Drosophila melanogaster: one gene and its partner. The protein of the gene in region 1 interacts with the protein of each later gene in a pairwise test. Each region holds a gene or a part of one and is shown on either strand. Other genes may lie near its edges. The genes, in order: Or56a and mus304.

Region 1 (3,922 bases):
CAGATTCAAATCGACCAGCAGGGCGCGCATCTTCATCGGCCTTTGGGCATGCATCATCATAAAAACCAGCATTTTCTGCAAAGGCATTTCGAAGTTGTACCATCCGCAAGAAAAGTAAGCAAGGCTCAGTTCATCGTGCTGAAAAAAGGACATTTTGGGAGGCTACTAAAAGGAAGTAAACAAAAATCATGCGGAGATATTGTCTGATTGCTATGGACTTTTTTCTCCGAATTGATAGAGCTTCATCCGACATATGAATGAAAAAAATGAGAGAATAAATTAACTTTTTTAGGCGGATCTTTTGAAAATTTGTCAAAAATATATCATGCTATTCTTGTTATTATACTCACACATTCAACAATCAACGTGGCATGCCAATGATAAATCCACAATATACCAGCCATCACAAAAAGGTAAATGAACATGAAGAAGTAATCCATTTTGCTTGGAACCTAATGGGCCACATTAAATATTAGTTTGAAAACTATAAAACTATAAATATTGAAACTTACGCCAACTGTCAAGGCAAAAAAGAGAAAGCAAATGAGAACCGAGAAGATAATGAAATCTGCCATCACAGGCACGCAAATCAGATACTGTAGTTCCTGGACAAATTTTCGAATCCTCAGCTGTTCCTTTACAAATTCCTTGAAGAGTTGCATTTGCCAGAAGGTTAACTCACTGGCAGTTAGGCGACCAATTACCAATTTGGAATTAAGTCGGGTAATCTGCTCAAACGAGAATATTTATATATTTTATTTTTGAGTATACAAATTTAGAAATGATTATTACATCCATCTCCTCCACTCGCTTGTTGAGTATTTGCAGCTTGAGATTTACGTACTTCATGAGGCAAGTGATAAAGGTGTGCCACAATGGGATAGCCGTGATTCCCAGGCCCAGAGCATACCAAGGTCCCAAGTATCCAACAACGAAGTTATCGCAAAGTTCTCCGAAGGGAAACAGCTGAAATAGCAGAATGGGATGCTCCTCACCACGTCGCACAGCTGGCACATTGAAAACCGATTTCGGCAGAAACAGACTCCTGTAGATGCAGTCTGAATAGGCCATTAGGCCAGCAATAACCGATGGTATCCAGATCAACAGGGTAATGGTTCGTGTATAAGCCTGAGTGGCGACCAAAAGTTCCATCTCCCGATTATCTGCTTCGTGCATCAAGTTCTGGATATCCGAGTGGGCAACTCGCAAAAGGGATATTACTTCTAAAACAATGTGTAAGTATAAAAGAACATATCCTAGGCTTAATATTACCGCCTTATTATGTGATTTCCTTGTTGTTTTTATCAATAAACAAATTAAATTTATAATTTAAACTTACTATCTCTTTGTACGTAAGCATTAAACATGGCAATCGATACCGCGAAATACTGGACTGCGGTGGCGTAACTTGTGGCCCCATCATTGAGGTTTTCGTAACCACGAAACACTCTCGCCAGCATTAAAGCACAGCTAAGCCAAATCGATGCCGTCAAAATGGTGCACCGTATAAGACTTAACAAAGGCCTATTCTGATCCTTGGAGGCCACATATCCGTACCATTGGAAGTATCGCAGGTGGGTTCCAAAAATTGGATCCTCGAAAGTTGTCGGCGAAAGCAACAGATCCTTAACTTTAAACATGTTAAACTGTTTAGCGTTAACCATATTCAAGGGTCTTTTATAGGATTTCACAGCCACTTTTTTTGAGGTGCTAAGTGGTTTGATTAGCAAGGGGCCCCGTTAAGTGCCAATAATTGTCCAATAATTGTCTCTGTTTACCTGTTTACCGACAGGTGCTGCAGTTCTGCATAGACGATTTGGTAATGTGCTAGGTGTAAGCCCTCCAGCCAGATGGCCTTCAATTATTTGTGGCGAAGTTTAAATTCGATTTGCATGTTACACTGTGCGACGCCCAAAACTTTGTCCACATTCAGGGGCAGCAATGTCAAATGTGTTTAGGCAGCGTTGCATGCGAGTGAGTGAAATTTGCTAGTGAAATTAAACTTTTTCCCAACTTGTTCTGGCTACTTTTCGAGAGTGTCCCTTTTCCAGCGGCCGGGGCCAGAGTGTAATCAGGTAATGGAAAACGAATAAATAAGATGTGAGTAGTAGTGCTTCAGGCTTTAATAAAATTAATTTTTGATCTCTGCTCGTTGGGTCGAATTGCAGGTGCACAAACCAAATGGGGGCCAGAGTCAATCAAGTGGTCAGATTGCGTAGCCAACTATCGACCATCGAACCAACTAACCTCACATGGGACCAAAGGTCCTTTCGGCAAATGGCATTCAAGGAAGATGGAATGCGAGGACCGAGAAAACTGAGAATCCGAGAGCCCGAGGCGGGAACTCAGAGTCGGCAAACGAGAATCTCGAATCGTTTTTGCATGTGACAATCATATGCAGGAGCTGAGTAATTCGCCAATATATACATGGGGCATCAACGGATATTGTATCTGTGGAGCGAAGCATGTGCGGCACGAGTGTGTCGTCTATTTCACAATTTGCATTTAATATCCTTGTGTGAATAATTTACAAATGCAATAAACGTAAATGCGTTGGAGGAAACGCACTCAGACATGGCTGGGTGCGAACCGATCCCAGTCCATCTCCGGAATTCGAGCCCGAATCCAGCATGGAAATGCTCCACAAGCTCTGAGCTTCGGGAAAATGGGATGTGTGCTATTGTGGGGGAAAACTCAATGCACGCATATTTGTATGTTGCATGCTTGCAACTGTCTCTCTGATGTTTGTGTTTGCAAATGTGTAAATGCATTCGCAGCTCGGTCGTATTTGTCTGTCTGCTGGCGTGAAATTTGCTGTAAGCAATAAGCCTGTGAGGATATTGAAAGTCACTCGTTTCTGGTATTTACTTATGCGTTTGTTTCATGCTCTGCTGCAAAATGGAATGGGAAATCGGAAGGATTCGGTGGAGTATCTATCTGTATTGGCCTGACTTGACTCGGTTTGGCTTGGCGCTTTTCACGCCACATTTGCCGGGGCAGAGTAATCGGATATTAGCCCGCCTTGCTTATTGTTATGGCATATTTATTGGTAGTCGGAATTGCACACGATGCTGCGTTCAGTTTTGTGGTTAACTTGCAGCTTTAACAGCCCCATAACTAAGGGCTTTTCCCATCGAGAGCTCGTGTGGTCTGACTCCATTCCTTTTGACATCTTTGCGTGTTCTGTGGCTGCGATATCGGAATGGAAATTTCATATATACAACGATTGCGGTTCATTTGCAAGGATACAAGTTTAGCAATTGTCATTTAAGCTTGCCACTCAACTAGAGTATCGTAAAATTATTATTTTCCCAACATACCATCTAAAGCATCTCTAAAATAACATCTCGTTATGGCATTATAATCCATCAACTAAGTCAACTTCGATGAAATCTTTTGCGGAGAATTTTGAAACTATGCAACTTTGTTGGCCATGAATTATAGCCACATTTAACCTTAAATAAAGTCTTTTAAAAGTCCATAGACTTTAAGAGTGGGAGGACTTTACTTGGGCTTTTGGCGCCAACCAGCCACTAAATTGTTTACACGCAATTTCATCAAAACAATAAATCATGCAGTTGAATCGGCACAACAAAGGCGGCGACAACGACGACGTCCGCTTTCCCGCTTTTCCGCTTTCCCTTCACAGACGAACGACGTGACGTCAAGTTGACATTTGGTGAAAATCAAATCAAAAGCATTTTTCCGCACAGCGGAAGTGGCGCAAGTAGCAAGTCAAACTTGGCAAACACACATTTATAACGCAAGGATATAGTAATGGGACCCACAAACACAGAAATCCCCAAGTACATAAATATATCCCCACAACATACACACACACATATATATATGTTACATATATATATGGGGTATATATTTGCTCTGACTGCTTGACGGCCAGGTCATCAATCGTGTGGTTGAA
Region 2 (3,922 bases), on another chromosome or scaffold:
CTCGCAGCCTTTTCCTCGCTGCGTTGTACTTGAATTTGAATTTTGATTCGGGTTCGAAACAGACGCTGATGTCGATCCATTGGAGACCGATCCCTGCACAGCTCCTGTGGAGTTGAAGCTCAGACTGGTGCCTGTTTTCATCAGAGTACCATCGCTGGAGTCCTCGTCGCCATCGTCGGCAAAGTAAGGCAGCATTTCAAGTATGAAATCCGGTGGGTTTTTGAAGCACTCGAACGCGAATCGCACATGATTTCCTCCGATCTTGAGCAGCAACTGAAAGTAGTCCTGCCGCAGAGGAGTTTCACTAAAGAAGCATAGCTCGAGTAGGCCCGCGTAGACCTGAAGTAAACAGGAGTCGGGACCAAATCGATAAACGGAGCGAACGCGATCCGATACAAAGCAGTCCTTGGGACTATTCACACACATTTTATCCATAAGTTGGGGATGTCTAAGGCAGCTTAAAAAGCAGGAGCTAAGCTCAGCAAAAACCCAAGGACTGGGACGAGTAAAAACTAACTGCTTAAGCAGATCGAAGAGTAGCTCCTCGTTATGTTGAAGAAGGGCATTTTCTTGTAGGAGGCTATTTAGGAGTGAAGTCAAGGCTTCCAGCAATCCAAAGTGTTGGCCGACCTCGTAGGAAAATCCTAGTTTTGTGATAGCTTCAATAGCCATATCTAGCAGTCCCAGATCATTTTCTTTCCACTCCGTGAGACCTCTAGAAATCCTTTCCTCTCGCCGGCAAATCAAAGCCAAGGTAGCTATGAAGCGACGCAGCGGAACAGCCTTTTCGTTATCATACAAACAGCTCTGATGGGTCAGGGAAATGCGATGAACTTCCTCCTCTAGGTTGTGGGGATTGTAGGGATACAGCATGCAGTTGTGTGGAAAGTCCAAACTTTGAGCATACGAAGCAAACTCCGTGAATACCTTGCCGACCGACGAGAGTATTCTTGGCAGGAGGTTATCCACAGATTCCGGCTTTGCCTGCAGCCGAGCGTAATGAAGTAGCAGTTGCTTTAATTCCAGTTCAAAATGATTTCTTCGTTTCTTAGTCTGATCCTCATTTTCGCTGTATTCGAACACACTGCCATTATCGGTTTTCAGCCCGGGCACAGATCTGTGTATGTTAAGCCTATTCAAGCGAAGTGATAAGCGTTTCTCCAAAGGATCTGGAGCAGCCTGTAAAATGCTCATGCTGGAATTCATGCTTCTTTCATGGGCTTTTTGCTGTGTCTTCAACTTTGAGAACTCGGCGTTCTTAATCTTCAACTCGATGTCCTTGGCCGCAATTTGTTTGGCCGCTTCTGCCACTTTTTTGTTGCAATCCCGATTCGTTTCGTCGGCCAAAGCCAGCTTTTCCATTTTGCTAGCCTGCAGCTGCTGGCGCAAGTGCTTCAGCTCATCACGAAGTAAGGAAACCTAGAGAAATAAATATAAATGGATTAGTTTCTGTAAGGTCTAGAATCGGTGTTATAGTTCCACCCCGATGTCCACCTACCTCACCAGACTTGATCTCATTGCGTTCCTTACTGTCGCCCAAATTCTTTTCCAGCTGCGCGTTTTCCCGCTTAAGGGCTTCAATCCTATCCATGAGAAACTTTAGCTGATGCTCCTGCTGGCGGGATTGCGTGGCATTGATGGTCGTCGTGGTCGTGGTTTTCTGCTGAACACTTATGCTGCTGGTAGTTATCCTACTTGTGCTGGTCTTCGGCTCCGGCATCTTTTGTGGCTCACTGTCCATGAGGGTAACGGCCAGAAAATCGAAATCATCATCATCCGCGAAAATCGCATCCATATCCAGGGAAGTAGGCTTCTTTTGTGGCGGCGGTGGCGGCGGAAACATTTGCTGTGTGCTGGTTGAGCCCTGAAAAGTGGGTGCAAATTCGCTGAAGGTGACCTCGCTGTTGCCGATGTCCACCTCTGTTCCGCCCTTCTTTTTCCGCTCCTCCGCCTCGATTTCCGCCTCCGCCAGCTGGGTGGCCATCAGGATGACATCGTCATCGTCGTCCCAGAGAATCCCATCGAAATTGTTCCTCGGTGGACTGGGTCGCGCTGATCCGCGGGTAACGCTAACATCCAGGCGCGGTTTCTTGCACCGCGCGAAGTCTTTCATGGCAGAAAAGCGCTTGGCCATGGTTCCTCCAGTTTCCGCTATATTTCGTTACTTTTTGGCCATGGAAAGTCGTAGATTATTTTGCCGGTTTGCTTTGTTTATAAAATGTAGAGCTCAACTAGCGTTGCCAGATGGATTTGATCGCAACGATGGATTTGCCCAACCAAAATAGAGATTATGTTTCGAATCCATGTTGCATAGAAAAATACTACATTAGGATTTACTGCAACAAAAAGCCAGTTTTGTAATATCGCTCTTTGTTATTATGCTGGTTTTTTTTAAGCGCCGATAGAAACCCGCTACAATCACAGTTTCAAAATCCGATTAATATTGAGCAAAACCAAAGTCATCTGGCTACACTCAAGTCTATCGACTGCGGTGTATCGGCATGTGGTGTATCGACTCAGCTTTCCCATTAACCTCAAAGGAAAATCAAAGAATTCTGCGGAAATTCTAGCCCAAAACTAAAGGACTTACGGGGAAACCAGAACCCAGCGACTTCGGTCGAATTTTCGAGGTGACGGGCGGCGCGAATGGAACGCCATGCCAGCGAAGAGGATGACGGTCACCACAGCAGCAGCTTCGACCATCAGTGGAGCCAGTGGGTCCACCACGAATAATGGTCAGTCTGGTGGCGGTGCACGCCCACTGGAGACGCTAAACGGAATGACCAGGCTGACCCCCGCCCGCGACTTGACCCTTGGTGGGCGCGGCGCTGGGACAGCCAGCAAAAAGGTCTTTGCTCCCAATTTGAATGCTGTGCGCAATAAAAATGCGTGAGTTGTGGAATGGCCCAGGGGGAGTCATTCTTTTCATCATCTCATTTGATTCACAGCAATGTCAAGACATCCAAGGACACCACGCAGCCAAGGAGCGGCCGCAGAGGTGGACGTGGCAACGGCACTGGAGCAACACGTGGTCGAGGTGGAAATTCCGCTGGCGGGGGCAACTCCACGCTCATCCAAACCCAGGGACTCTTCTCCGAAGGAGCAGGCGATGTTCATGTGCGAAGGTCCACAGGAAATGGAACGGCATATGCACGGGGCGGTGAGGAGGTGTCCGTGACCAGGAAACGGGTGGATCGCAAGGACGACAAGAGCCAGGCCGAGCGGATCAAGGAGCTCTTGGGCGAGTCGGACGCCAGTGGCGGCGAGCTCAGCGAAGAGGAGGCTAACAAGACTGAGATGGCACTCAGGCCCATCCTGCTAAAAGAGGGTACGTTTTACAAGCACTTTTTGATGCACACGGGCAGAAGAAATTCATGCTTTATTTGTTTATAAACGTTAGGACTCTGGGTCACCCAGAAGACACCGATTGCGAAGCAAGAAATCGCCAGTTCAACCTCAACACTTAAGGGTAAGGCGCTAAGCTTTAAAAATGGCATAATCTAATTTGATTTCGCTCCTAGACACTTTGGCAGTGGCCCAGCATTTGCAACAGCTGCATGTGGCTGCCCAGGCAGCCAGTTTAGAGGAACCTCCGCTGCAGTACGGTCGCTACCCACGCACCATTGGTAACTTTCTGGACTCCAGCGAAGCGCAGATCTTTCTCATGCAACTGCCAGATGTGTTGCCATGTGTGGGCGACGATTCCGAAGATCCGGAACCGTCTAAAGGAGATCATCAGGCCACCAGTGAATCGGAACCAGCAAGTCCTGCAGACAAATGCTCAAACGGACCCAAGGGCAGTGTACTACGGCAGCTGGAAGAAGGGCAGATCGGCAAGATTCTGAGGTACAAATCCGGTCGCGTTAAACTCCAATTGGGGGACACACGCTTTGACTTGGATATGGGTCTCGATCCGGGTTTT

Evidence for each region.
Region 2: the proteins of Or56a (region 1) and mus304 interact in a two-hybrid assay, tested with the Drosophila melanogaster proteins (one large-scale study listed by BioGRID).

Annotation. Positions count from the first base shown.
Region 1 is NT_033778.4:19,769,594-19,773,515, forward strand, and holds the start of Or56a (odorant receptor 56a), read right to left. Parts: upstream 1,641-3,922; coding exon 1,340-1,640; intron 1,224-1,339; coding exon 793-1,223; intron 729-792; coding exon 513-728; intron 453-512; coding exon 351-452; intron 139-350; coding exon 1-138. UniProt on the Drosophila melanogaster protein: Odorant receptor which mediates acceptance or avoidance behavior, depending on its substrates. The odorant receptor repertoire encodes a large collection of odor stimuli that vary widely in identity, intensity, and duration.
Region 2 is NT_037436.4:18,108,127-18,112,048, reverse strand, and holds the start of mus304 (mutagen-sensitive 304), read right to left. Parts: upstream 2,236-3,922; 5' UTR 2,135-2,235; coding exon 1,499-2,134; intron 1,420-1,498; coding exon 1-1,419. Other genes in the region: Polr3D (RNA polymerase III subunit D), read left to right, coding at 2,657-2,889, 2,949-3,328, 3,401-3,469, 3,522-3,922. UniProt on the Drosophila melanogaster protein: DNA damage checkpoint protein required for chromosome break repair and for genomic stability during development.